Linked DNA regions of Struthio camelus. The protein of the gene in region 2 interacts with the protein of the main gene of each other region in a pairwise test. Links are inferred from orthologs where the notes say so. Each region holds a gene or a part of one and is shown on either strand. Other genes may lie near its edges. The genes, in order: DCX, RINT1, FAM110A and LMO2.

Region 1 (7,969 bases), on a different chromosome or scaffold from region 2:
GTACTGTAAGAGCTATTGACATTTATATTTTCTAAAATATCATTAAACGAGATACATAAAACCAAGGATAAATTGTATTTTATTATTTTTATGCCCTTTCAGTGAGTTTATTTAGAGAAATACATTATCATCTGCCTTTTTGGATGCATTTGGGTAGAAGAAAATACTTGTGAACAAAACCAAGATCATAGGAAGCATCTTAGAAATACAGATTCTGTTGCAGATATTATGCATTCATTAAAAATATCATGATTTTGAAAAATTGTCTATTTGCAGCCCTGTGATCCCGTGAAATAAACTTTTGCATTGTTTGCTCTCACATATTTTTTGTGCAGTCACAGTCACCCAATGAGGCTGGGAAAAGATCACAGCCCGACAACTTATGAATTCTTATGGGTGGCACTGTCTTTTTAGGTGCATGTGCTGACTCTTGTCCAGGATTACAGCCATTACTGAAGTAAGGAAAAAACATTCTTACTACAGCTGCAGTGCTACCAGTCACTCACGTGAAGATTTTACAAAAAAAAAAAAAAAACCCACCTTCTGCAATGGAGTTTTCATATTGTGCATAACCTTTGAAACCTGAACCAAAAAAATGATGATTCTTCCTTTTGCAATTTTGTTGCAAAGGATGATTCCCTTCTGTATAGCCAGGATTTGATCTAGATTTAGCCTACATAAAGATCGACCCCTCACAATTATAAATAGGGCTAGATGCTAGGTATGCTGTCCAGTGTTCAGCATGTGAGTGAGCAGCATTTACCTTCACAGGGCTCCAGCTGAATGGAACATTACTTCACATATGTCATTGATGACATCTTGTTAGGTCAGAAATTTCTATCCGCATTGCTGCTGCAACATCTCTTGCTGGCCTAATCAGCAACTCCTCTGGAATGGATGCATTTCATTAGCAAATGAACAAATCAAACCGGAAGTCCACATTTGCTTACTCTCCTACCTCATTTGACATAGGTCATGTCACTCATAACCCATTACAGTAAGGCTGAAATGAAAAACCAACTTGGAGTTCAAACCCTGCCCCCTTGACACTGTGGCCTTTTAAGCATAAAGCCAGATGATTTAAATTGTTTCCATTTAATTCCAGTTAAACGTCAGTTGGTATTAACAGACATTTCCTTTGAGTTGTTATGAACAGGATTTGTCACAGTTAGTGGATTTTTCATTATGGAAGGTCTCACCAGAGGAAAAAAAAGTTTTATTCTGACATTTTTATTCTTCTGGATTGTTTATTCAAACCCAACAGCTTTATCCAAGAACAAAGCAAACTTTTCTGGCTGTCCAGGAGGAAAAGGTTTCAAAGTTGACAAGTCCATTGACTGCAGTGTCTCCACAAGAGTGCTGTAGAAACAAACCAAAACCAAGTATAATATGTTACTACTTGGGGAGAAATTCACCCCAAGGGGGAATTTTTTCTTCACACAGTTGTCTCTCTATTCATATGCATGCATAATCCTTTAGCCCAGAAATGAAAATAAGGACATATATTGAAAGGAAGAAGAGACCCCACAAACCAGTGGGCCCAACCATCACTGGCTCATAGGCAGCAATGCTGAGGAAAACGCACTTCAAGCCACATCACAACTTTCATAAGCAGCCTCAGCTCTAATTTTTTATCTTCGGTGGCTGCAAGCAACGTTGGGAGACTGAATAAGGTTTGAGGATCGCTGCCATAAACTGTATTAGGAAATTCATCCTATTTCAACACATAAGTAACCACTTAACACATAGCCAGAAAAGACAGCTAAATCAATCCATTAGCTTGCAATTTTCAGACTGCAAATAAGGCTGAAAAGCTAAAATACTGTTCAACAAAGAAATAAAAATCCCTTCCTACCTCTGAAGTGGTCAGAAGCACTGAGAAAATAAGTTTAAGAAACTGGCCTAATGTAAATTAATGAAAGGTCTGGTCTTTTTGGAAGGCTCTTCTGAAACAGAATCCTATTTGCAGGGCAAAGGAACAAGATGCAGACTAAATAATGTGAGGTGCATTTCCCCTACCTTCAATTTAAAGGTCATCTATTATTTATGGAGTGCCATAAATCACATTCATGAAGAGAAATGGGAAGATACAGTTGAAATAAAGGAGCATCAAATGAAACTAACAGGGCCCAGGATCAACAAACAAAAAGGCCTTTTTTTGTCTAAGTGGCATGCAGTAGATCTGTCAAACTCTGTCAAAGGATGTTGTGGATGCCGGAAGTTTGGTTAAGAGAGTAGCCTGAGTAAGTACTTGGAAGACAGATGTAATGAAAGTTACTAACCAACCAACCAACCAACATCTAATTTAGGAAAACCCTGAAGCATTAGGGTATTAGAAGGAAAGTCATAGAAGAGAGTCCCATTTCCTGTTCTTACTTTTTGCTAGGTATCTGTGTATGGCCACTGCACACACGTTACTGAGCTATATAGCCTCCTGAGTTGAATCAGTAAGGCCGTTTTCATGTTTTGTTCTAAATACTCGAGACGCATAGATATAATAAAAAATGAAGGTATCCATACAGTCATCTCTAGTGCCCCTCACAAAGAAAACCCACATAGAACTCCGTTTTTTTCATTTTACTAAGTCTGCAGGGAGCAATATATTTCTTATAGTTCATGGTTGGGAACTAGGCAGTATTATTTCTAGCTTTGAGAAAGAATTAAGAGGTGAGAAAGGGAGGGCAGAGTAAGAGAGGAGTTGTTAGGTACCCCTAGGATGCCACCTGACAGTTACCTGTCACTCAAATTCAACCATGGTTTAGACTGCTTTTTTTATTTTTTTTAAACTGGAAACATGTGACCTCAAAATAAAAGTTACATTAAAATTAATCTCAGACAAAAGGCTTGGTAGATTTGGTGGAGACAGCACCAACTGTTGATCTATCTACTATGGAAAAACATGCCTTGCAAACAAACAAAAAACTAGCTTTCCTGAAATGTCTGTCCTGCCCTTACTACTTAGGTGGGGAAGTTAATTGTGGTATTTGGTCAATGTGATTTTGTTACAGAGAAGGATGTGAATTTACTTATTACGTTCTCAATACTGTAATGACCAAGCTACGGTACTGAATACCTCTTGTTCAGTCAGGATCACCACAGCTGCTTCATACCTGCAATTACAATAGAGGACATGTCCATCTCTGTGGAGTTGCTTTGCCAATTCAAGCTGATGGTTGTTCATCAGCTTTTCGTTTATTACTACTATTAGTGGTTTTCCTTCTTCTAGCGTCTCCAAACAGCTACCTGCACCTACAGAAGAAACAAAAAACATGATCAGTGCTTTCACCTATAGATCAAACTTCATCCTACTGGCTCTTGCAACATGAGAGACTCCTGAACCTGAGCATTTAATCCATTTAACTCTAGCTGTGGACCTGAACTTTTAATGCTAACAGAGTCAGAGAATTACAGAAACGGAAGCTGCCCACGCTACCGACTTTCACATCTACCCACACGAGAACAGGCTTGGCAAACTCTCTGCACGGCACTCAGCTGCCAGTGCGCTCTACCTGCATGGCTTATGACCAGGTCTGCTCTCCGCAGGTCCTCAGCCAGCGAGTCCTTGAAGCGGAAGGCCTCTAGCGTGAAGGCCGGGGTGCTCACCGGGGCCGGCTCCTGCACCCCGTGGCCGATTTGGAGGACCAGCTTGCGGTACCCGTGACTCTGCAGCACCTGCGGCAGGAGGGAGAGCGGCAACAGTGCTCAGCAGCGAGCCGCAGAGCGGAGCACCTGTGGTGGGGCTGCCCCTGGTGGGCACCTGGTTGGGCTGACCCCAGCTCTGCTCCTGGGTACCCCATGGCACAGGGCCACTGCCATGGCCAGGGGGCACACGCCACCCCCTGCCTCATGCTTTATAGCCCCCCCAAGTCCCCCTGCCTCACAGCCCCTCCAAATCCTGCCTTGCCTTACAGCCCCCCTAAATCCCGCCTTGCCTCATAGTCCCAAGTCCCCCTAAATCCTGCCTCATAGCCCCCCAATCTTGCCTTGCCTCACAGACCTAAATCCTACCTTGCCTCATAATCCCCCTAGATCCCACCTCACAGCCCCCAAATCCTGCTTTGCCTCACAGCCCCTCCCAAATCCTGCCTCATCTCACAGCCCCCCAAATCCTGCATTTCACAGCCCCCAAATCTTGCCTTGCCTCATAGCCCCCCCCAAACCCCGCTTTGCCTAACAGCCCCCTCAAATCCCACCTTGCCTCATAGCCCCCAAATCCTGCTTTGCCTCACAGCCCCCCAAATCCTGCTTTGCCTCACAGCCCCAAATCCCGCCTCACAGCCCCCAAATCCTGCCTGGCGTCACAGCCCCCCCAAATCCCACCTCACAGCCCCCTCAAATCCCACCTCTCTCCTCACAGCCTCCCCAAATCCCATCTCTCTCCTCACAGCCCCCCCAAATCCCGCCTCACAGCCCCCCAAATCCCATCTCTCTCCTCACAGCCCCCCCAAATCCCGTCTCTCCCCTCACAGCCCCCCAAATCCCGCCTCTCTCCTCCCCGCCCCCCGCCGGGGTCGCCGGCCCCAGGGCGGGCGGGGGAGCGGGCCCGCAGTGCGCGTGCGCCCGGCGGCCCGGCCCGACCCGGCCCGGCGCGGCGGGCGGAGGCCCAGGCCAGAGGGCTCGGCGCTGCCTCACCCGCACGGCGGCTGGCGAGGAGGCGGCGGCGATCAGCTCCTCGAAGCTGGTGGTGCCCACGGTGACGAACACGGACTTCATGGCCGGCGGCAGGGCCCCGCCGCGCCTAACCGTGCGGCCGGCGAGGCAGGGGGAGCGGCGGCGGGGGAGGGGGGCCGCCAGGGGGCGCCCGGTCCCGCCCCGCCGCTGCCGCGGAGCGGACAAAATGGCCGCCGCGCTGAGGGGCCTGGGCGGCGCCGTCCTCCCCCCCCCCCCCCCCCCCCCCGCGATGGCGGCGGGCTGCACTGGGAGCTTGCTACTGTCCCCTCTCGCTAGCTACTTTGTCTCCTTCGGTTTCCTTCCCTGAGTTTCCTCTGCGGTGAGGAGGAAGCAGCCCCCTCCGCGGGAGAAATCGCCGCAGCTCTTTAAGGCCGGTTCTTTATCAAAAAAAGAAGATCGAGAACGCAAATTTTTTTTTTTCTTAAAGCAAGAAAACACCAAGATGGCCTTTTTCTTAAATGTCTTTTCTCACGAGAACTGATTAGCCCAGGAGGCTCGGGTTAACGCGGCTGTAGAGCTTCTGGGGCCCGCAAACCGTACCGGGTATGGCCCGCGCCCGCTTGCCCTGCTCCCTGGGCAAATCTGCTGCCGCTCGCTCGCCTGAAGGAAAATCTGACTCGTTTATTTTTAACCGTTGCAGTTGCGCACTAGGAAGACGTTTCTGAGGTTGAAGCAGGGTAACGCAAGCCCTGCTGCGTGCTGGTGTCAGTCCCGACGGCAGCCGGGACCCGGCGGCAGCCTGCCTGGCGCCCGGAGAGCTGGGACCCCTCGGGGTGGTGGGGCAAGAGCTGCCCAACCCCAGGAAGGCTGGCACAGTGGCAGGGTCCCCGCGGGACCGTTTGAGACGTGCTGTAAGCGAAGGAAGCAAAAGGTACCTAGGGCAGGCGGTCTAGGACCGAGACAAGAAAATAAGGCGAGGAAACTGAGGGAGGACAGAAGCAAAAAGACCAGAGTTCCTGTCACCATCATCTGCCGACACTTAAACTGCCTTATTTTTTACAATATGCTTTTGCTGAACTGGTCACCTCAACCTATTCCTTTCCATTCCGCTTTTCTCCTTACAGCCTTGCCACATGTGAAAGTCACAAGCCAAGCCATAGAAAATCAGGGTATCAGGAGTCCTTAAGAAATACTTGCAGAGTGCTTTCTCTTGGCTTTATGCTGTCTGGGCCTGTTAATTTCCACTGTAATTCTGAGGACTAGGAAAAAAAACCCTGAAATTCTCAGGTAATCTCTTGATACCAACTGCTGGGGCCTTATTCAAATATATTGTTTATTTTAACACTAGTCTCATGACTCACCAAAGCATCACAAAGGGGTGGTAGTGTATGAGTAGTCAGTCATGTTTTGGAGGCAGGATGGATGTTTCATACCTCTGATGCCCGAAGCAATGCCACATGGCACCTGTAATGGTGGCCCACTGGTGATGGGCCTCACTGGGGCATACCCTTCCCTTCCAGGAGCCCAGCTGCACTGCTGCCACAGCTGGTCAGCAGATCACCTGTGGATATGAGTCATTTTAAAATACTCACTTTAAAAAGCAAATTCTGAAAGTCATTTAAATACTTGTGTTCCTCTCCTACCCTTGCCTTTTGAAAGATACGTGCTCAGCATCACTGAATACAATAAGGTTCCCACTCCTCCCTACTGCCCTTTAAGTACACATTTTTCTGATGCTGTTTCAGGCTGATCTTCCCACCTGTTACAAGGACTGAGGAAACATGCTGCCATGGGCAAGAGCTTATCAACTCCCAACATGACACCATCCCAAGAGCTAAGGAACAGGGAATCAGAGAGGAGCTGAGGTGGGAGGTGAAGGTTTCTTCTGAACAAAGCAGCGTGCAGTGTTAAGCCACCTTAAATCAATAGCAAAGACGAAGTCACCAGCAAATTTCTCATCTCAGGTACGTTTCCCCTTTGTGATGAAAACCCTGCAGTGTTGTAGTTTCAAAGTGAGACATCACATCTGATAACACATGATCTTGGCCACTGAAGGACATAATAATCCTTTACCAGTTGCACAAGCTGAACCAGAAGCGTTAAGTGTAAAGCAACATATTTTTTGACAGAAACTACTCAAATTAGACATCTAAACATACTTATTCTTTGAATTAGATTTAATAGATGAGGTTGCATCTACATTTATTGCTGATTGTACAAAGAAAGAGGCAGAAGAGATTTAGCACTCTTAAGGATACTTCTAATTGCCATGTTAATGGCTCATTCACAGTGCTCATTAGCCCCCTATTGTTTTCATTTGACATAATGAGCCACACTGAAACTCATTTATTGTTGATAAAAGCAAGTAATGCTGACAGCAGGATTGGGGGGGGGGGGGGGGGGGAAGGAAGAGAGGTAGTATCTGATTTTGGGAGATATGTTGTGGAGTAAAACCGATGTCAGGGCCCTAAGAATCCAATAGGCCTCAGCAGCCCTCACTAGCCTTGTCCTACCCTTGCTGCTCCCTAAGGGCAGGTGAGCTGGGAGCAGAGCATGGCCAAAACACAGTCCAGGAAACAACATCATCAACAGGTGCAATTCCACAGCGCCAGAGGCAGGTGAGGAGGGCAGGGTGGTGACAGCAAACAGGTCCTGCCAAAGGCAATGCAACAGGCCAGGTCTAAGGTCCATCCAGGAAATCCAAGCAGCAACTCAGGACCAGGGTTAGGAGAAAATGCACCTCTGATGCAGCTCAGCAGGGAACGAGGGCCCAGCTTGGGAGTGAGTGGAGGCCCCAGGTGAGGCTGGTCAGGGCAATTAAAGCCAGTAAGTGCTCTCAGGGCCCTGACAGCTGATGGATATAGGAAGATTTTGGAATGAAAAGACGGATGCTAGGTTTATCAGGTGTGACAGAGGAGGGTTAACACATCAATAAACCTTTCTGAGAAGAGATAAGGACAGCTATTGAAGAAATGTTTTAAATAAAAAAAAATTAGGATAGAACTTAATATGTTGGAATGTGTTCCTGTCTTTGTCATTAATTTATATTAAGCTAGGTACTGTGGTTTAGCAAATTACTGCTCCTTTGTAGCTGGGGTGCAATAACTCACCATGTGCATGCTATTTTTCTGCCCAAATTGCAAAATAAACTCACCATTACGGTGAGTTAAGTTCACGCATTCATTTTGCAGTTAGCTCAGGTTTACAGTGTTTGTACCTCAGCTGTGACCTTGCTTTCAGCCATCCACTCATAGCTTGAAGTAAGGCACTCTAAAGAAAATGCTCCATGCATCAGCAGCCAATTGTACTGTCGTTATTTGTTCTCTCAAACTTCAGCAGAGTAAAATATGTATTTAGA
Region 2 (7,609 bases):
AGGAACCTCCCCTGATTTCCATGACATTTCAAGGACAGAGAATGGCATTACAATGACACGAGCCAGCTCTCAGTCCATGCGTCTCCTCTGGTCCTACAGAGCTGTATGGGTCAAGATTTCTCCAAAGATGCCTGACTCCATCCTCTTCCACTACTGGTAGTTTCTCTCCTCCTTGAACCTTGTGTCCAGGCACAGAAGCTCAGGAGATCTTGTTAGTTAGCCTGAAGCAAAGGAGACATTGTGTACCTCAGCCTTATCTCTGTCTGCTGGCACTAGATCACCCACATTTAGGAGCAGCCCCTCGTTATCCTTGTATTCTTTTACTGCTGATGTTGCAATTAAGCTCTTAATTGCTCTTGGTGTCTGTTGCCAGTTGCAACTCTAGTTGAGCTTTGGCATTCCTAACACCATCCCTACGTGCCTGGACAGTGTTTCTTTCTTTGTAGCCTGTCCTACCTTTCACCTTATGTATGTATCCTTGTTATATTTGAGCATAGTCATGAGTTCCGTGTTAGGCCGACCAGTCTCCTGGAAGAAGCAATCGGTTTGAGAATCTGAGATGAGGTGTGGCACTGAACCACGTTTATTTCATAGATTGAAAAGAAAAGCTGAAATTTTTAGCGTTCAGTATATTTATAAATGTGATTTGCCCTTAGTAAACTTAAGTTATTCCTCTTGAAACTTCCCAGTCAGACGGAAGTAATGCTGGAAATTGCACTGCAAAATAAATGCATCAAACTGCACTTTAGTTGCAGTATATCCCTGTATTTCCATTGCCAACCTCCTCCCCATCACGTGTACATATACACACTCTTACTTAAGGATACACACTCTTACTTAAGAATACAACCCTAATAAAATGACTCATTCTTCTGGCCATTTCAGTTAGAAATGCTTAGTATTCCTTATCAGCTTACTTTTTCAGAGGGCTTTTTTAAACTCATTTCAGTCTTTGCTGCTTTTTCAAAGATAAGAATGGGTATTCTAGCTTCTCTTGTTTTTTCCCCTATTTTTTTCTATTTTTCCTCTCCCCCCATATACCTGAGATTGTCTTGTGTCAATAAGTGACGTGTCAATAAAATATTTTATATAAGTTTTGTTTTCAGCTTAAATTCTGATTGTCAAGCAAGAGATTCTAGGTTACTTGACTCTACTAATCAGGTTGAATAAGAAAACGTTGGAAGTAATATGATTTGCGATAAATAATTTTCAACTTCCGTCTGACGTTTATCCCACATATGCTGAAGATCACTGGAAAACAAGGGAAGGAATGTTACATTAAAACATGGCCTCCGTTGAAACTGGCCGTACTGCACACTCTCTGCTTAATGTTTTCATTTCTTGCAGTTGGTGAGGCCTACAAGGAAATGCTGGTAGCCGACAATCTTGATATCAACAACATGAGGCATAAGATTAGAGATTATTCACTTTCAGGAGCATACAGAAAGATCATCATTCGACCTCAGAATGTCAACTGGTGAGTAGGAAGATAAAGGAAAAAACACTTGAATTGACAGTGTAGGGTATATATAGGATGACTAAGAAAGTACCATTAGATCACAGTGTGTACATGTAGACCAAAACATAAGTAAGAAGGAATCTTTGTTCATTTTCCTCACGTTTTTACACGGTTGAACTCGAGCCGCATTTCATCACTGATCCTCTGGTTCTGTGTGATGTGTTAGCGTCAGGACGTCTGTCTAGTTGTTACTATCCCGTGCAGTAAGGGCTTGCCTAAACACATCATAGATAATTAATTATTCATGCTGGAACCGCAATAGATAATACAAAACAGGTGTTTTGGCAATCTTTCTATGAGAAAAGTTGGTTTCCGATTGCCTGTGTGTGGATCGTTTGTATTATTTAAATGTACTAAATCACTATTATGAAGGATATGACCAAGTTGTCCTATGGCAACTGAATAAATGTCTTTTAAACAGGCTATTGTACAAATCTGCAGAATGACCTGATTACTGTGTTGCATAGAAAAGGATATGGAGGATTTTTGGAAGGAGACAAAAAATTCAAATATTTGAATTTTATTTTAGTTACTGCTGGTTTTTAGAGCTTATCTGCATTCCCATTTACTATTCAGCCTAGTAATTACATATTGAATGATTATATGAATGGAAGAAAGAGTAGAATATGTGTTTAAACCATTACAAAGACATTTAGATGGCTTTTTAAAAATATATATATATATTTTTTTGTTGTTGTTGTTGTTGAAGAATCCTTCTTAGAGTTGATGCCATTCTTTCTATAATTTCATAAACTACACTTCTTGTATAGCTGGAAATCCTGATATCCCAGGGGGGTAAAAAGCTGAGTCACGTAAAGAAATTTCTCACTAGTTCATTATTTTGTGAATATCTTCACTAAACAGACCAGCTTTCTATATAAGGCTTTATCAGTTATTGCACCATAAATAAATAACACCTTCCCTAATCTGTACTGGAGAATCATTCCATCTCAGTGATATTTTTGTAGCTGCCAAATTTAAATAAAGAAAAATAATAAAAACCTTATGTATATTATAAAGGGAGGTTGTTGCGTATGATGATCCTAGAATCCCACTATTTAATACGGATTTGGATAAGCTGCAAGGAAAACCACTACCAGTTCTTCCTACAGGTAAGTTAACATTTCTGCGGCTGTTTGCAAAATAGATGTTTGATTGTTGTTTTAAACTGCAACATACTGAAAGATCTTTTGGAGAACAGCTTTCCTTTAACAATACTATTAGGTAATGATATAGAAAAGGAGGTACTCAAAGTTAGGTGCCTGAGTAAGGACCCTTATTTCTCAAAGAAGTACAAGCAAACTCTTCCAGCAGTCTGTTGCATTTTCTTACACATCTCTGCAAAACGTGGTAAACGTCTCACCATAAATGTCTGTGAAATGCATAAAGAAAAGGTGGAATTAAGCCACAAATGGGCTATGTGCTTGAGCACATATTATTTGTGCTAAGTATAAGAGACTATTCAAATACTTAAAGTCAATGGAAATTTTTAAAAATGACTTAGGTCACAAGGTCTTTTGACTCTGCTTTCCAGAAAATAGAGAGACTAGGAATTCAGTTTTGAAAGAAGAGGAGTTTTTTCTTTTTAAAAAGAAAACAAAAATGCCCTACTCTGACAAATTGATCAACTATATAATTTTTGATAAATATTCCTCTAACATAGTCACTTCCTGCTGAGAGAAGATGTTAAATGGAAGTTATTTTATGAAACTTCACTTTATGCTACACTGTGGATTGTAAATGGAGTGTAAACTCACTTTTTTTCTTTTAAGTTTTGATGTCCGCTTTTGATGATATCCAGTATAAGCATTTTGTGTGGTCTTAACAGTCTATTCTTGTCTGTTTTTCCTCCTACCCCTGATACGACAGATGGTAAATTCAGGGCACTGAAGATGGCGTTCTCCCTTCCCCCATCCACTTACGCGACTATGGCAATTCGAGAAGTGCTAAAAATGGACACAAGCATAAAAAACCAGACACAGCTGAATACTACCTGGTTACGCTGAATGAACTGTAAAAGGAGTTAGATTTTATCACGTATAAAAAGTTTTACTACGTACGTGTTCGGGACAAATCTTTAAAGATCGGTATTTTTTAAAGTTTTTATTGGTGCAAGAAATTAACATTAAATCATTTGCAAGATGGTGGTTGTAATATAATGTAGCTCTTAGTGACTGATGCTTTTAATGAATGAATAAATTGCTTGAGCTGTAACATGACTGCGTCTTTAAAAAGAGGGCTTGTAATGGTTTCGGAGCTGGAGGAAGCTGCGCTTCGCTTGTCTGGAAGTACAGCGACGGTTGAATGTTTTCATGAGTTTAGCACAATTCAAACTCTTCAAACATACTAAATTTCGGATTAGGAAAACCAATTACAATAAAACTAAGATATTGACGAATATTCGTCATCAAAGAAGAAGTCTCTGTAGCCGTAGGATGCCGGTAGCATTTGCGCTGATCTGGTAGAGGATTCTGTTAGCGAGGCCTTTTCTGTGGGGTGATGATGGTGTACAGCTGTTTCACTTGGCTGTAGTCTTTTATTAAGAAAATATTTGTGCATATTTTCCTGCTTTACTAATACCTGTACTAAAGAACAGCTAAGGAAAATAAATTAACCAAAAAGTCTAGGTGAACGTCAGTAACTGTTTCCTCCAGGCGTCTTGGTGTGTCCGTTGCCGGCAGTGGATGAGCCGGACTCCTGGTAGGGGAGAAGAAAAGCTTACAAAGCCATTCGGAAAGGACAGTCTTTGCCTTCGCAATCCGTTTCTATACCAAATACGCAAACCCGCGTTGCTTGTGTTAATAAACTCATGGAAACACAAGGCGTCTCTCCTGTTGTACTTCTTCGTTGTTCAAACGCCAATTAAATCCTTGAAACCGGCCTGATGATAAACCGTCTCTAAAAGATTTTTTTTGGGGGGGGGGGGGGGCGCGCGTTCTTGAAGCGGCAGGCCTGTAGTTTGCCTGCAGGAACAAAGCTAGTCTCGCCCGCGGCCGCCCTGAGGCAGCGGAGGGCCGCGGGCCGCCCCTGAGGGACGAGGGCGGGGCAGGGGGCGGGGCCGCCCGCGGCGTTGGCCCCCCGCCACCAGGGGCGGGCAAGGGCGCACGCGCGGGGCTGCGCGCACGTGACCCTCCGTGGCGGCCGCCGCCCGCGGGCTTCTCGGCTGCTGACGCGGCAGCGGCGGGGGGCGGGGCTGCGCGCGCGCGCGCGCGCGAGGGAGCGAGCGGCAGGTGAGTGAGCGGCCCGCGGCGGCGGCGGCGGCGGTCCCCGCCCCCCGCCGCGGAGAGGTGCCGCAGGGGGCCCGGCCCGGCCCGGCTGTCCCGGTGGCTCGCGCGTTGGAGGGCGGCGAGGCGTTAACGGCCTCCCGAGCTGCTGCTGCTGCTGCTGCTGCTGCTAGGCGTGAGGGCCGGCAGCCCCCCGGAACGGGCCGGGAGGAGGCCTGCCCTTTTAGCAGAGCCCTGCTGGGCCGTAGAGTTGTTCTGAAGCGGTGAAGGGAGAGGCGAGGTGCAGGCGGAGTTGCGTGTTCGAGCGGGGGGGTGGTGGGAGGCCGGTGCCCGGTGTCGAAACCCTCTCTGCCCCTGTAGAGACCAGTGGACTTCTCGAGTGGTACTTGTTTTCATTTCTGCAGGCAGCCTGGGGGTTCTTACTACTCCCACCTCTTCCATGCAGCGCCCTCTCTCTCTCTCCCCCTCTCTTCCTGAGGGCCTCTGTTTTCTGTACACGCTCCTTCCCAGCTGCTCAGTCTCCCAGTTTCTTCTTGCTGGTGCGCTGTCCTGCTCTCCCAGCTTGGACTCATCACTTGCACCATCCTTTCACTCTTTCCTGTTGTCCATTTAATATGCTTTTTTTGTTTAATTAAAATGGATAAAGTGCAGGTGTATGGCCTATGCTTTTAAACACTGTTTTGAAATTCAGAATGAAAAAAATTGAATTGTAATACAGCCAAACAGTCATTGTGGTGTGTTGTTGTTGTTGTTGTTGTTTCACTGTACATAAACATCCTCTCAGTTTCAGGACTTGTTTTCTTTGGGTGCTGCAGAACGTGCAGATCATCACATGCCTCTTCTGCTGTTATACTCTATCTTTTTTTTTCCATTTATATTTCACTGATGCACTGACTTTACAGATCACATGCTTATTCTACAAGACCTGACTGGATACTTTGCTAGTCATGGGTCACCTCATCATTTGGCGTTTCTGAAACATCGTAAACTGCCTGAAAAGGTAATGTAGGTCATTGGATTTTTTCTTCGTTCTTAATAAAAATAAATGTTTCGTCCAATATTTTTCCTTGCTTTCCATGCTAGAAACACGTATACAGAAATATTGCTAATAAAACTCAATTTTAGGGAAGGTATTTTTTCAAGTAGCAGACGCATTTCACTTGGCTAGTTAACAGGTGATCGACAATGGAATGTATATTAGCAAGGTTCCCTTGTATGTCTTCTAAGCCATACCTAAGCAAATTGCCTCATTTAAAGCATTTTTTTTATTAAATATCGTATTTACTTTGCAATTTGAATTGAACTGTCCTTCTCATGGAAGTTTGTATCCTCAGTAGATCAACAATTGGTAGTACTGTCTTAGTGATGACTAACTAGAAATCGTATGATCAGTATTGCAGATAAAGAAAACATGGCAACCATTAATGTTAGAAAGAAAGGACTCACTAGAGATCCAGATCGCTGTGATATCCCATACTACGTTTCTGAATTTGTGGAAAGAGAAGTTGGCAGTGACTATGATTCTCTGAGGAAGCTAGACAACCTTATTGATAAGCTATCTGAAAATAAAAGGCGGTTAGAAGAACAGGTGAGTGTCTTTTCAGATTTTCATGGAAACGGTAAATATGCTGAATGATCGATTAAGTGTATTTAACTATATTGGGGCAATTTATTAATATCCCGTATGATGCTTTTCTGTATAGTGCAATGGTTTTATGTCATTTTACGCTTAATACTTCTCCCTAAATATAGGTACTTACAGTTTCATCAGAGGTCCCTAAAAGAATTCAGAATGCTTTAAAGAATGCAGAAGATTCTAAAAAGTCTCTTAGTCGGCTTTTGGAGGAAGAAACACTTCTATCGAGTTCAATCAGTAGCCACTTACTGAAAGCTCAGCCATGGATGGAGGATCTCGATGTACTCATTGGTCAAGTGGAAGAGATTGAACGACACCTGTCTTACCTGAAATGGATCTCACGAATAGAAGAGTTAAGGTAAAATTGAAAGACCTTTAAAAACTTCTTACTGATATTATCACACATCTTTTTCAAGGCTTCAGTGTTAAATAATCAGATTTGATAAACACACTGGAACTGGAAGTCATCTTACATGCAATTTGTTAATTCATTTACTAGTGAGAATTCGAGATTATTGTTCTGATTTCTGTCAACTTTTAAGAAGGAAGGTAATAGCTGACAGCTTCTTACACGAGAGAGAAAAGATGAAAAACACTTATGGTTTTTTTTTTTCAGTTACTATAAATTACGATAAGATAATTGAAGTGATACCTAAACATCTTGAGAAGAAACATGACACTTCAGACTTCAAAATTCTAATCCTTTGTCTTAGTGCACAGATCTTCATTTAGTGTAAGTGAACAGTGTCATGTTAATTCATTCCTAGCTTCTTTCAGTGGAGAATTTTTTGTAGTGCACAAAAAGAATTTCAGAAATTAGAAAGCATTGTTGGATCAAATTTTATATAGACAAACTTTAGTTGTGAAATATTATGCAGAAAACTGTAGAGGTGTATTAGGCCGGTCTTCCACTTTATGAAATTTGTTTTCAGTGTTGTTCTTGGAAGTGAGAGGAAAAACAGTTCTTTAAAAGGATTATTTCAAGAAGGTGTGCTTAAAAGAGTTTGAGACCTTCCTCCTTTCCTCATCTTCCACTCCTTTTCCTCAACAGTTTAATTCTCTGTGACAGACTCCTTTCCTAGGAAGCTTCAGATACGGAGCTTGGTCCATGAATCACGTCTGGGTATTGTGCATGTGTGCTCAGAGCGGTAACCTAGTTTATCTCATTATTAAAATATTTCAGATTAAGCAAGTTTTATCTTTGTTTCTGAATATATAGGTGACTTTTTT
Region 3 (5,733 bases), on a different chromosome or scaffold from region 2:
ATGGTGGAGACTTCTCCGAAGGGCTGGGAAATGCAGTCGATCTGGTTGTCCCAAGCCAGCCACCTTTGCGTCTTGTTAAAGCATGCGTAAGCGGAGGTTCAGGGTGTACCTGGAGGGAGGTCGGACAGTCAAGCACTGCGGTTCCCTTTGAGAAGGGCTGGACAAATACGTGTCCCAGAAAAACAAAGTGAGTTTTGCAAATAAGAGCAGGCCCTGCCGCCTGGTCGTGCCGGTCGAGAGCAGCAGAGCCGGGAGGGAGCTCCCCGGCTCCCCGGCACAACCGCACGAGCCCTTTCCTGGGAACCGCCGGCTCTCCCCGCAGCAACCTCACTGCCGGCGTAAAACCCGCCTCGGCGGCATGACAAGGACCCCCGAGCCGGGAGAGCGGAGGCGGATGTGGCAGCGTGTGCACCTCGGGCCGGGCAAACTCGGGGAGCCGAGCAGGAGGGGAGCTGCCCCGTCCCCACGCAGGGCAGGCCCGGCCAGGCATTAGGTGCCAGGGCAGCAAGACCTCTGCCGAGGTCTCCGGGACCAAACATCCCCCAAACCTGCCTCGGACCAGCGGGCCCGGGGCTGCGCCTGGGCTCTGCGAGCCGAGCGGGGCGCGAGGGTGCTTCGCCGGCGCCGCGCTGCCTCGCAGGGCGTTCTCGCCCGGCGCTGACTCAGAGCAGCGCGGTTTCGGCAGATCCGCTCCAGCACCCGCGAACAAGGGGGAGGAAGGTGAGGACGTTGCTCACGGAGGAGGAGGCTCCGGGGACGAGCACAACCCCCCGGCCGAGCGCGGGGAGAAGCCGCTCGGCGGCCCGCACGGTGACCAGCGAGCTGCCGCGTCCCGGGGCAGAGCCAGGTAGGTGCTGGAGGCGGAGGTGGCCCCAGCTGCAGCCCCGCGTGCCGGTCCCCCGCTGGGTGCTGCCGGGCTCGCTGGCCGGGCATCGCAGGGCCGGGGGCACCCAGCGAGGGGGCGGGTTGGCACCTCTCCCAGCCTGCCTTTTCGGAGGAGCGGCCTCGGGCGGAGGAGGTTATCAGATGCAGCAAAGCCAGCCCCGCTCGGCTGCCTCAGGCTGGGAGGGCGACGAGCCGGGGCCACGGCCTGGCATTGCCCGGGCACGAGCCAGGCTGGCAGCCCTGGCACCCGGGCCGCCGAGCGCCCTCAGCGCTCAGGGGACGCGATAACGTCGCTTTGTTTTCGGGGCGGTTTGGAGGGCGGCTTGCGCACAGCCGCCTGCCACGGCTCGGCGCCGCGGTGCCTGCTCGGCGGCCGGTGCCAGGGCTGGCGGCTCTCCAGCGGCAGGAATGCGGAGCGGCGGGTTGCGCGGCCGGCCGGGCCCCGTCGCCGCTGGCCGGCCCTCGCCGGCAGGGAAGGAGAGCCCGCGCCGTGCCGCAATCCCTCCGTTGGGCCGCGGCCGGCTGTGCTCTGCAGCCCTGCGTCCTCGTCCCCCGCCCCAGGGCCCCGGGGGGCACCTTGAGCCGCCCCCCAGGGCCGGGGCCGTGTTTGTCACAGAGCTGGCACGGAGCCAGGCAGCGCCGGGCACGCGGGGTTTCGCTGCGCGGGCGCTCCCGGCGCAGGGCTGAGTCAGGCGCTCGTGTCCCGCCTCGAGCGGGGCTGGGGGACGCGGGGCCTCGGGCGGAAGCTGACGGCGGTTCCTGCTCGCGGGGCAGCCGGGATGGGGCGCGGGGCAGGCTGCAGCTGGCCTTTCCCCCGGGGCGTCTCCCCTCCGCCCCCTCGTCTTTCGGCCCGCTAGCCGGGCCGTGGGGCTCGGCCGTGCCCCGAGCACCGCCTGGCCCCGCTTTCCCCCGGGGTCCTTCGGCAGCAGGGACGGGGCCCCGCGTCTCCCCGTCTTGCTCAGCGAGCGTGTCGGTGCTCGGCGCCGCCGGCAGCCCCGTTTGCGGGGCGCGGGGCTCCCCAGAGGGGTGCAGAGAGCCTCCGCCGGGGCGCGGGGCCGGGGGGGGCCGAGACCGTCCCCAGCTGTCCCCGCCGGCTCCCCGCCGACACTTTCCGGGTCAGCTGGCACTGTCGCCGCGGGGCGGCGAGGCGAGGGACGGCGGCGGCCAGCCGCGGGGGGGGGGGGGGGGGGGCGGCCGGGACCCCCCGCCGCCTTTGCAGCCCGGGGCCGGGCAGCGCGGGGGGGCCGCGCCGAGCACGGCGCCGTAGCGCGGCGAGCAGGAAGTGGTGCGAGCAGGTAGCGCGGCCGCAGGTGCGCTCCGCGCTCCGGGCTCCGCGGCCGCCGCCGCCCCGCCAGCGCGCCCGGGCTCCGCGCACCGCGCACCGGCACCGCCGGCCCGCCCGGCGGCCGCCCCCCGCCCGGTAAGTCCTGCGCTTGCTCGAGCCGCCTGCTCGCACGGCGAACCGGGCAGGCCGGGGCTGCCGGCGCCCACCCGCGGCCCCTCGGCCGGGCTGCAGCACCGCCCCCGCCGCGGCCCCCCGAGCGCCGTGGGGGGAGCGGGAGGGGTTCCCGCGGCAGCTGCGGACCGGATCGGCGGGCTCTCAGCGCGGCCCCCCCCCCCCCCCGGTGCACCCCCCCCTCCTCCCGGTGCACTCCCCCGGTGCAGCCCCCCCCCCCCCCCCCGGTGCAGCCGGGACCCCGGGGCTTTGCGGGGCAGAGCGGAGGTTGCGCCCAGCGCGGAGCAGGGCCGGAGGCGGCCGGCAGGGCTGGGGCGCTCGGAAAGCGCCGCCGCGGTGGCGGTCCCCGCTGTCCCTCCCCGGGAAGGACGCGGTCGCCGAGCCCGGCCCCGAGCGCAGCGGCGCCGGTGGCCGCGGGGCGGGAGGGCTGCAGCGGGTGCGGCCCCCCCCCCCCCCCCAAAACCGCCGGCGGCCGCTGCCCCTCCGCACCCTTGGGGAAGGCCGCTGCGCCTGTTGGGCTTGGCGGAGGCCCAAGGACATGAGGTTCCCGGGTCTCCAGCGCGGATCCAGGGCTCCGCACGGCTCCTGGCACATGCCGGATGGGAAAACATAGCAGGAAACCCCCCCGGGGGCTTTCCAGAGGGGCCCGAGGGTGGGGGGCAGCGAGGCACCCCGCGCGCTGGGCAGGGAGCCCGTGAGCTGCTCCAGCTCCCCTGGCTCCTTGGGGGCTTTCCCCACTCGTGTGGGGGCGCCGGGGTCCCCAGCACCCTGCGCTGGGCCGGCCCAGCCTGGCGTGCGGGAGCCCCCGTCGCGCGGCCTTCGCCCCCCCGCCTCCGTGGCTGCAGCTCCGGGCGGGCTGCAGGGTTGCAGATCCGCCTGGCCGAGGGAAAGGGCCCGGCAACGTGCCTGAACCCCGGGACGGAGCCGGCCCCACCACGCGCCCTCCGGGAGCGGGGTTTCGTGGGGCAGCCGTGCGGCGTCGGCGGGGGACCACGGGGGGGCCGGGCTCTGGTTTCCCCCCCTGCAAACCAGCAGCATCCTTGCTCCCCGCTTCCCGGAGGAGACGGGGCTCAGTTGGCCGGAGGAAGAGCGATAAGGCAGCCTGCCCCCCAGCCTCGGAGGGGGCGGCGGGACCGAGCCGGCCCGCGGCGGGGCCGGGCACCCCTCGGCCGGCGGGCTGGGGGCGCCAGGCGTCCCCGGGGGCTGCGGGGCAGGCGATGCCACCACCGCTCGCCTCCCTCTCCTCGCTCCGTCGCTGGGCTAGCTGCGTTTGGGGCGCGCTGCCGGCGGCCCCATTGGCCAAGGCGCCGTTTGAAGCAGGCTTGCTGCGCGGATTGGCCGGGGGGACGTTTCGGGGACGCCTCGGTGGCTGGCGGAGGCGTGGTCCCTGCCTTGAAATAGGAAGCCGGGCGCTGGCCTCGGCGGGCTGCGCGGCGCAGACCGAGCGGCTCCGCACAGCCCGCTCGCGCGCCCGCTCGCGCCTTTGTCTGGTGCCGGCGGGTGGGCGAGCGAGCGGCGGCGCTCGGGACGGCCAGCGCCCGGCGGCCGCGGGGACCCCGGCCCACGCCGCCACCCGTCACACCGATCCCTCTTTGCAGCCGGCGTCGCGTGGCCCCGGGCCGGACGCTGCCCGCAGCATCGCCGCCCGACCCGCGCCGCGGGATCCGCCGCCCGGGCCCGCGTCCCGCCTCGGCACCGCCGCCGGGCGCCCCCGCGGCGCGACCCTGGATGGGTGCCGCGGCCCGGCGGCCGGGGGCAGCGGGCGGCGTGGGACGGCGCGGCCGGCCGGGACCATGCCCGTGGAGACCCTGCAGGCCGGCGACGTGATGAAGGGGATGGCGACGGCGGCGGCGCCCTTCACCTCGGCCATGCCCTTCCGCATCCTCAACAAGGGCCCCGAGTACTTCCGACGGCAAGCGGAGACCGGCGCCCGCAAGCCCAGCGCGGTGGAGAGGCTGGAGGCCGACAAGGCCAAGTACGTGAAGAGCCAGCAGGTCGCCAGCACCAAGCAGGAGCCCGTGAAGCCGCTGCTGCTCAAGCAGCCCCTCTTTGCGCCGGGCGTGCGCCGGACCATGCTCACCCCCAGCCGCAGGGCGCCGCCGGGGCCCCGCCGCGCCGAGCCCGCCGGGCCAAAGACCTCCCTCAACCTGGAGATCCTCAACAACCTCATCAACATCTGCGACAGCCCCTTCCCCAAGGCGGAGAGCCCGCTGGGCCGGGAGCGCAAGTGGAAAGCGGAGGGGCCGGAGGGGCCGGGCAGGGAGGCGGGCGGGCAGGCTGCGGCGCCGCGGCCCCCGGGCCCCGCCGACAGCACGAGCAAGCTGTCCGAGGGCTCCGCCGGCTGCAAGCCCTCCGGCACGGTGGCCGTGCGCCGGGTGGACGTGCGGCCCTGCGGGGCTCTGCGGGCCAGGGTGGCCCCCGCCGTGCCGGCGCCGGCGTCGCCCGCCCGCAGCAGCGGCGTGCCCCCCGCCGGCTCGCTGAGCTCGCCCGGCCGCAGCCCCCGCGACGGGCGCCCCGACAGCGCCCGCCGCCAGACCCTGCTGCACCGCTCCAAGTCGGACCTGAGCGACCGCTATTCCCGGGCCACCGCCGACCTGGAGCGCTTCTTCAACTACTGCGGCCTCGACCCCGAGGAGGTGCAGGACATTGGCGTGGAGCGCTTCGCCCGGGCCGCCTCCGACATCGTGTCCGTCAAGTTTCACAGCGTGAGCACGGCCAGCTCGGAGGGCGCCCGCTCGCAGCGCAGCGCCGCCACCCTCGAGGACCGGCCGGCCGAGCGCATGCCCTACGGCATCTCCGTCGTCGAGCGCAACGCCCGCGTCATCAAGTGGCTCTACGGACTGCGGCAAGCCAGGGAGCCCCAGAAGGTCTCCAACGTATAGTGCCGGGGCCGAGGTTTTGAGCGAGCGTGCGTGTGCGTGTGCGCCGCGGATGCGGGATGGGGAGGAAACGATGTCCGAGCCCTCGGGTGGTGCAGGCTGTGCCCCTGGGATGTCTTGACTGTTATGGGACCCTCAAATTTGGCCCCTGGCCCCTCCTGCCCTGCCCCTGTCCTACACTGGCAGTTGCAGATCCACAGGCTGGGCCCAAGCAAGAGGGGGGATTTCAGCCAGGCTGTGGCCAGGCGGGTGCTCAGGCACTTCGTGGTGGCCCTGTGTCCTCCCCGGCCTGGGGAGAGCTTTGCTTCCCCGTGGATCTGGCTCTCTAAAATCCCTAAGCCAGCAGCGAAGAGCCGGGTCGGAGAGCAGATGGCCTGTCTGCAGCTGCTGAGCTCGCGCTGCGCTGCGGGGTGTGCGGCCGCGCACGGGCCGGCCCCGGGGCCGGGAACGCGCTGCCCTGTCCCTCTCCCGCGAGCGGCCGCGCACGGGCCGGCCCCGGGGCCGGGAACGCGC
Region 4 (7,645 bases), on a different chromosome or scaffold from region 2:
TAAAGCAGTAATTTTCTTCAAATCAACTTTCTTAAGGAGCTCTCTTCCTTGCCTCTTCGTGTAATGTTATAGCTTCTGCCAAAAAAGATCAGCAAAAATTAAAGGAAAGCATCTGAGCTCAGTTCTGCAAGGTTTGCAATGACCTGACACTGCCACTGAGGGCCTCATCCAAACCCCAGGGAAGTTAATAAAAAGACTATTGGATCAATCCTTTAAGCACTTGCTTAATTTTAAACCTGTGGCTAGTGACAAGGAAGTCACTTGTTTGTACATTTATGCTTGTCTGCTTTGCTGGATCTTGACCAAGGAGCTCAATGACTGGCAGATGTAGCCCCAAATTGTTTAAGACATTGTTCAGTTCTTGCTGTCGCACACTGTCTGTCAATGCTTTGTTTCTGTCGCTGTTCTGTCCTCCTTCAGGCTGGTGAGGGCAGAGTGCAACTACACCAACAGAAAAGAATCAGGCTACACCGAGTTTCCAGCAGGCCATAGGAAAAATTATTTTACTACTGCTTCAAGTGGGTTTATGTAGACTGTTGTCAAAGCTTATTTACTGGGTCAGCAGTTTTCTAGGCAAAAATTACTTTCTTCAGCATGCAGAAATGACCAGCAGTTGAAAACTTCCATGCTGAGAAACTGATCCTGCAGTTTCTATTTAGACAAGCTGAGCTCTAAGATATTATCTGATTATATCCCATTCTGTTTTTCACTCTCCAAAGTTTAAACTGCTGTGCCCTAAAAGTTTTCTTATAATATCCCACCCTTCTAGCTCTCTGTACCGTGCGTTTGCATTAAAATTGTAGGCTGTCTGCTCTTAGAATCATGGTAAGTGATCAGGCCCCACTTTTTCAAAGTTTATTCCACATGCTTCCCTTCCTAATGTGTGGGCTACCCACGGACAAGCTCTGAGAGCCTTCCAATAGAACATGCAACTGTAAAGGAATAGACATTATTATCCTTTATTTGAAGCTTCAGATGTACCCCAAAATCTTTAATCTTATAGATGGTTCAGGAATCACTAGCCAGTCTCTGAATGCCCTAAAGTCCGGAACAGCCTGACGGATGTTTACGCGGAACAGAATTTCTGTTTTAAGCATTAGCATTTTGATGTTCATACATTGTAAAGCCAGTACTTAGTCAATAGAACACAAAGTAGGTAAATAAATAAATACGGCTAAAACTTTTGTAGTTCAAACCTGGATGCCATATACCTGGGAAGTTAGGATGATCATTTCTTAAAAACAATATGAAATAAAAAATGTAACAAATGCAAAACATCAAATGTGACATGGCATGAACTGATTTAATCCACATAAGAAACACTTCATGTGTTCACTTGTGGCTTCAAGGGAAGGGCCCAAGTGAAACAAATCGGAAATGACTAAAGTTCACTAAGAGTAATGTTTTAAGCCTTATCTGAAAATGGGGATTTTACAATGTTTTTCTTCTCTCTTATCATGATGCTAGACATCTGTAACTGCAGTTATTCAAATGTACAGCGCTGAAGTGACGTGGTGGTACTCTGAGTGAACGTGCCTCTTGCAAGTATGGTGACTGCATGTGCTTGGATTCGGAAGGGATGGGACGGCTGCTGAACACAGATTGAAAAAGAGGGTCATAATGTGGGAGTCAGTCCCTGCCATGAATGTGAAAAATAGGGAGGAAAATTCTCATCTTCTGCATCCTTCCCGTCAATCAAGTCTTTGTACATGGCCAGTGCCTTTGCAGAACACCCTGCCCCCACCAAAGCAGTTCGTACAAGCTCTTGAAAGTTGCAAAGTGCCTCGCATCATGAAAATGTGGAAGTTGGGCACCCATCAGATAACAGCTCCGACCTTTCGCTGTAATCAGCTACAGCGAGTTGGACAGATCAAACATGGGGCAGAGAGCGAGGCTCAAAATGAAGACAAGTTAAGCTCTGGAAAGCATTATGCCCTCCGTCTCCCCCAGTCGTTCCCCGCAGCCCTGCATCCCGAGACCGGGCGGAAAATGCCCTGCCCCGTGCGGGATTGCGCCCGGAGGTTGCTCCCAGCGGGTATTTCCCAGAACTTGGGGGCTCCGATCAACTCAACGTGGGGCCGGGGCCGCCGGCCGCACCCGCAGCCCGCGGAGGCGCCGGCGGCTCGGGCAGCCCGGCCGCCGCCGCCCGCCCCGGGCCCGGGCTGGAGCTGCCACCGGGGGCTGCGGCGCCGGCTGCCGCCCGGGGCTGTTAGGCGGGGCTGCCGCCCGCGGCTGGCGGCCGGCGCGGCGCGGCTTCCCTCCCGCGGGGCGCCTGCAAGCCGGGGCAAAGAGCGGCGGGCTGCTGTGCTTCCGAGCCCCCTTGCCCGCCGCCGGGAAGGGACGCCCCAAGCAGCTCGCCGGGGCTGACACACACAATGACGGTGGTGAGGGAGCTCGTAAAGTCCCTGCCGAGCGCGCCTCAGCGCTGGGGAGGATCAAAAGGCACGGGAAGGGCTGGGGAGGCTGAAAGAAAAGAAGCCACTTACTCGGAAGGATCGAGGCTTTTCCTCTCGATGGCCGATGACATTGGCAGGGATGGCTCCTTTGTAGTGTGCCTGTGGTGGGATCTGCCCCCGCTGCCCCCGCAAAGGCTGTCTGCTCTTGAAGCCTTTTCACCAGCTGAGTTCCCCCTCCGCCCCCCAATGACATTCACAGGATTTCCTCCTGCAACACCAAAGAGAGAAAGAAATATGGGCTGGGGCTGCTGCCGCCGCGGCCGCCGTGCTGCGGGCTGCGTCTCCGCCAGGCTGACCCTTAGGATCTAACCTCCCATGCTTGCCCCGCTCCTGCGGCGCGCTGGGCGGCGGGCAGCTCCCGCCGCTGCGGCTGGCCCCGCCGGCGGCCGCCGCCTGCCGCGGCCGCCGCTGCTGCCTACCCCGCGGCTCCCTCCGCTGCGCTGCGCTGCGCTGCGCTCCGCTCAGGCTCGCTGCCTGGGCAGCTCTGAACGTGCTCGGGAGAGGGGCGCATCGGCTGCGAACGTGGAGACCAGCATCATTATTATTACTCTAGCTCAGCCCCGAGTCTCTGGTTTCATTTCCTTTTTCCTGATCACGATTCAAATACAATAGAAGGAAATCGCACTTAAAGAGACAGCTGCCCATTTCTTAACTGGACTCCGGGGGATTTAGCAATACAAACAGCAGCATCACGACTCAGTCGGTTTCTTAAAGAGACAGAGCTCGTCTCCCCAGAGCTAGGGCTGGGAGCTGACTTTGCATTTTCACAGTACGCTCTAATTTAGGAATACTTTATCAGTAAACCGGGGGTGCCCGGATAGTCGTGTAACCTGAAAATGATCCGAAGGGCTTAAAAAATTCAAATGTCTGGCTCCATCTTTATTGGCCTCTTAGCTCCACACATTACCAAAGCACTAGCGTCGTGGTCTCTCTTCTCTTCCTCTCCTTCTCTTACCTATGCACATACCCACACGCACTCATGCTTTTGTACAGTATTTGAGATCTATGCATAAAGACACTAGGTAAGAAGCTAAGTATTATTTTCTACCTAGGATTCAAATGGGCCAGCTAAACTGTACCTGTCTCATTTCTTACTCTATAGTGAACATTTATGGGTGTCTACTCCTAGGTGTCCCCACCTAGTTCTTGGTAAGTCATATAACAAATTTATATCTTGATGCTGTTTGATGGTAATGAGCTGTAAAAGCTCGAGAGTACAAAGTATTGATCTGTAATTAATCACAGAGAAGCTAAAGATGGGAAAGTCTTGCTTGAACATCTCTATTTCCCCTCCTAGCCTTCCTCCCCCCTCCTCTCCGTCAGCACAGCACATCCCGGAAAGGACTGATTTACAGTGCTAGAGTGAACACTATTACAGCAATTATAGCTTTTTTCCATTCTCTGTGGCATTAGATACTGGCCATAGCTGGCGGCAAAATACTGGATGAGATGAATTGCCTGCCCTGTTAATTCTTTTAGATACAGTAAGAAAGATCTGTAATAAAGCACTAGTGAATAGCAGTAGAAATACTTACCTTCTATATTAATTCCCAGATCGGAAATATATTTGATGTCTGTTTTTATGACTAGATTCTCATTTTTTCAGCTTTTTTTGGCAGCTAGGGATATAATATCTGAAATACATTAATGAGCCTGATTCAAAGACTAGTGATGTCAGCAGAACTGTTACTCATTTCAGGGGGCTTTTAACCAAGCTCTCACAATTCTTCAGAGCCATCACTGGTCATTAGAACACTTATTCTTCAAAAAAGAATTTGTATCCTTTAAGAAAGATTTCTTATTCTTTAAAAAAAAGATAAATAAAACAGAAAAGATAAAGAAGGTCAATAAAAAGATATATAAAAAAGATAAAGGAGATTCTTATATTTTAAAAAAGTTATCGCCACTGTATTTTAAGCTATTACAGTATGGCAGTCACACTTATAACCAAATGTTTTTGTTAAAGGAAAAAGCTTCTTTGTTAGAAATATTTAACCACGGGGAACTTTATTAAGAAGGTTTAAAGAGATCAGAAATTGAATTTAATGGGGGACCAAAAACTTGTATAAAGACTTCAAACACTTAAAAAAGAAAGACAGTTCTGTGAGCTTGGTGTCTCCTGGCTGTGTCTTAAGGTCTAATAAGGTATAAACTCCGAGTCACATTGGCAGGCTAATTGCAGTCTCTCCCTTCTACTTATTTTCCTCAAATTTGCAGGAAATTAATATCTTTAAGACTTCTGTCACTCTGTCTATCTAAAAGAGACCAACTGGTTCAAAAGTTTTGGTGAGGGATAGACACGTAGACATTGACACATAAGGAATTACTTTCTTCCTTAGAAAAACAACCTAAAACCAAGGAGGTAAAAGATAAAGTGGCCAGTGATTACTGGAATATGTAATTTTTCAATCTTTTGCAACACCTATATTCCTCGATTTGATCAGGCTCACTGAGGTCTGGCAGATAACCTCACTGAAGCTAATGAGATATTTCATATACTCAAAGTTGAGTGCATGTTTACGTGCTTTGCTGGACAGGGCAAGAATGCTTCATGCCTTGCAAGATCAATCCCTTAACTGAAGGAAGCTTTTCTACCTAAAACAATGGAATAGTGTGTAAATAAAGGAGCTGAAGAGCACTATTTGCTCATATTTTGTCATCCTTTCAGTCAGGTGCAGAGCTTGGCTGAGGCTTTCAGATCCAGAACAAACTTCCTAAGGAAAGTCAGTTCTTCAGGTGGATACTACTTTTGATAGTGCTGATATCTCTGCATGCTTCCGAGAGATACCACTTCTCTGCTTGTCTGAAAAGATGTGTAGTGATGACCCCAAGATTATTCGTTGTTTTCTTTCTTTCCTATAAAGGAGAGATGCTAGGCAAAGTAGTGTGAGAAGAACTAGGAAAAGTGAAAAAGTAGTCAATTTGCTGGTACATAACATAATAAATGTGTTGCTCCACTGTGCTTATTGGGAGAGTGCTTGAACTCAATCTGCTTAAACAAACAGTAATCAGGAAATACTGCATGAGCTGTAAAGTTGTCATGGTACCTTGAACAAACTGCACAGCAAAGACGCAAGGTAACACTTGGCTCCATGCATCAGGTGGAATTTCAAACTAAACCAAAAGCTTGCTTTGCAAGCATCAGTGTGGCAGAAGATAAACAGAAACTGCCAGGAAGCAGTGTCCTCTACTGATGGGTATGTACCAAACTGTTGTTGGTTTTTCGCCTGAATGGAATTTCTGTAAGCACCTTTTCTTCAAACTTTCTGTGGTGGTATTTATTGGCAGCTCCAAGTGCACTAACAGTAGAAAGCCCACCAAGAAGGTTCTCTGCATTCTAACCTAGGAACTGTTTTTTCCAACATCTTTTGGGGAAGGAAAATGTATTATTTTCTGGGACAATTCAAATTTTCTTTTATTAGGTTTATATATAATAGACCCTCGCTCTGGGCAGTGAAACTTGGCATCTTCACCAGAGGAGTCTTGTGTTCCACCAGAACAGGTGACCAGTAATCAAGAGTGGCTTCTTTTTTTCAACTTGGGAGAGTCCCTTAGTACCTCTGTGCCTCAATTTTCCCATCTGTAAATGTTTACTTCCCTCAACAGAATCTGTGGTTGATTTACTTTTGCCTCCCGCAGAATTAGGCTCATAAAGACAAAACATTATTCAGTTTTAGTATTTGTGGTGCCTACATTTCCTGCATAGGGACAAAAAGACTAGTACTATTTTTAGTGGGGGATTTTCTTTCCATTGTCCCTTTCTCTGCGAGGCTGTGTTTTCCAGTTCTATTTAGTGCAGCTTTTTATATTCATTGACAGACTGAGGGATGAATGTTGATTTCAATTAACTTTTATGAATGTAGATCATACTATAGGCAAATTCTTGGAGCATTACTAATATCAAATCCAGTGTTATTGTTTGCATTTAGCTTTCAGTGCTTGCAATAAAATGTTGTGAATAATTTGACTAGACTTTTCTGTATATTTCTCAGTAAGACTATTTTATGTAAACCTGCATTGTTTCTAGGAGTGATGTCATTGAAACAAATAACTAAATGTGCCTCTTTCCAAAGAAACATCCCCTCTTGAAACTGCTGAATGTTTTCACCTTTGTTTTGGAACTCTGCTCATTTGAGGTCCCAGGATTCCCTCTTGTGCTCAGTCTCCGGTTGTTCCTGCCCTTATTTCATCTTTAGTATATCCTAGCTTTATTTCCCCTAGAGCTGATGGATGTCGGTATTGAACTATTGAACTATTTCAGCTCACTCGCATTTGGAGAAGTCTGAGAATAGTAAGATTAACTTTGCTGCCCTCAATAGTCAGTAATGTTTGTTGCCTAAAATGCAGCTGATGAAGATTTAAGTCTCTGCACAGACACAAGAATTAAATCTCAATGACTGTGGTCTAGATTTTCTGTTAGTACTTGCTATGGGGTAGAAAAGTCAAGACCATGGCTAGAGTCTAATGATTAATATGAGAGGTGGGGACGAAAGAGAGATAATGACCTCTGTAATCTTGGCTCTGTTTTGCCACTTTGATCTACCATATGATGTTCAAAAAGTCACTGCTCCATTTGATTCCTCAGTTTACCTATTTGCAAAATGGAAGAATTCTTCCTCCTTCTCACCACAAGCTGAGCTGAAGCTTTGGCATAATGAGGTCTTTGGTTGACGTTCCAAAGAAATGTAAAGTTGTTTTTTCTTTGGGTTTTTTGAACACCATTTTGATACTCTAAAACAAGTTGGGAGGCTCTGAAGCAATTATGTTTGTTCATGTCTGGTCCCTATTAAAGAATACAGAATACTTGAGGAGAAATATCAGTCAGCTACTGCTGAGGACATTTGACTGGAGAATCAATGCTGGATCAATAGCAAATCATATTGCTGCCATGTTGCAGCAGCAGTGCATTGCAGAAGTGAAAGGCAACACATAATACAATAAAAATACATTTTTTGCTTTTTCATGGGCATGGAAAACTCTTTTTTAGGCAAGAAGTTATGTTACATGTGTTCTCTCCACGAGCGCTGCTTTTTCATATGCAAGACTACATCTTTTTCCTAGTTGTACTAGGAGCTCCCTGCTAGCATTCTTTTTAACTTTCCTGGGGATAGAAGTGGTGATAGCAAGGACAGGGAGTTTTCCTGGAGTGAAGACCATAGGCACTAACCTTAATGTCTCTGGAGGCTCTC

Evidence for each region.
Region 1: the proteins of RINT1 (region 2) and DCX interact in binary tests that used the Homo sapiens proteins (3 or more experiments, as listed by UniProt). The two-hybrid records come from large-scale screens. The link is inferred for Struthio camelus from reciprocal best matches to the Homo sapiens genes RINT1 and DCX.
Region 3: the proteins of RINT1 (region 2) and FAM110A interact in binary tests that used the Homo sapiens proteins (3 or more experiments, as listed by UniProt). The two-hybrid records come from large-scale screens. The link is inferred for Struthio camelus from reciprocal best matches to the Homo sapiens genes RINT1 and FAM110A.
Region 4: the proteins of RINT1 (region 2) and LMO2 interact in binary tests that used the Homo sapiens proteins (3 or more experiments, as listed by UniProt). The two-hybrid records come from large-scale screens. The link is inferred for Struthio camelus from reciprocal best matches to the Homo sapiens genes RINT1 and LMO2.

Annotation. Positions count from the first base shown.
Region 1 is NC_090952.1:8,237,631-8,245,599, forward strand, and holds the start of DCX (neuronal migration protein doublecortin), read left to right. Parts: upstream 1-4,954; 5' UTR 4,955-5,898; intron 5,899-6,356; 5' UTR 6,357-6,575; intron 6,576-7,969. Other genes in the region: UDP-N-acetylglucosamine transferase subunit ALG13, read right to left, coding at 1,250-1,359, 3,111-3,249, 3,510-3,672, 4,633-4,713. UniProt on the Homo sapiens protein: Microtubule-associated protein required for initial steps of neuronal dispersion and cortex lamination during cerebral cortex development. May act by competing with the putative neuronal protein kinase DCLK1 in binding to a target protein.
Region 2 is NC_090942.1:15,467,548-15,475,156, forward strand, and holds the start of RINT1 (RAD50-interacting protein 1), read left to right. Parts: upstream 1-4,599; 5' UTR 4,600-4,749; intron 4,750-4,806; exon of another isoform or gene 4,807-5,023; intron 5,024-5,604; exon of another isoform or gene 5,605-5,645; 5' UTR 5,646-5,743; intron 5,744-6,135; 5' UTR 6,136-6,154; coding exon 6,155-6,331; intron 6,332-6,495; coding exon 6,496-6,737; intron 6,738-7,609. Other genes in the region: PUS7 (pseudouridylate synthase 7 homolog), read left to right, coding at 1,348-1,477, 2,540-2,631, 3,389-3,525. UniProt on the Homo sapiens protein: Involved in regulation of membrane traffic between the Golgi and the endoplasmic reticulum (ER); the function is proposed to depend on its association in the NRZ complex which is believed to play a role in SNARE assembly at the ER.
Region 3 is NC_090959.1:18,340,611-18,346,343, reverse strand, and holds FAM110A (protein FAM110A), read left to right. Parts: upstream 1-4,083; 5' UTR 4,084-4,134; coding exon 4,135-5,223; 3' UTR 5,224-5,231; downstream 5,232-5,733.
Region 4 is NC_090946.1:33,638,154-33,645,798, forward strand, and holds the start of LMO2 (rhombotin-2), read right to left. Parts: upstream 3,016-7,645; 5' UTR 2,774-3,015; coding exon 2,767-2,773; intron 2,665-2,766; coding exon 2,487-2,664; intron 1-2,486. UniProt on the Homo sapiens protein: Acts with TAL1/SCL to regulate red blood cell development. Also acts with LDB1 to maintain erythroid precursors in an immature state.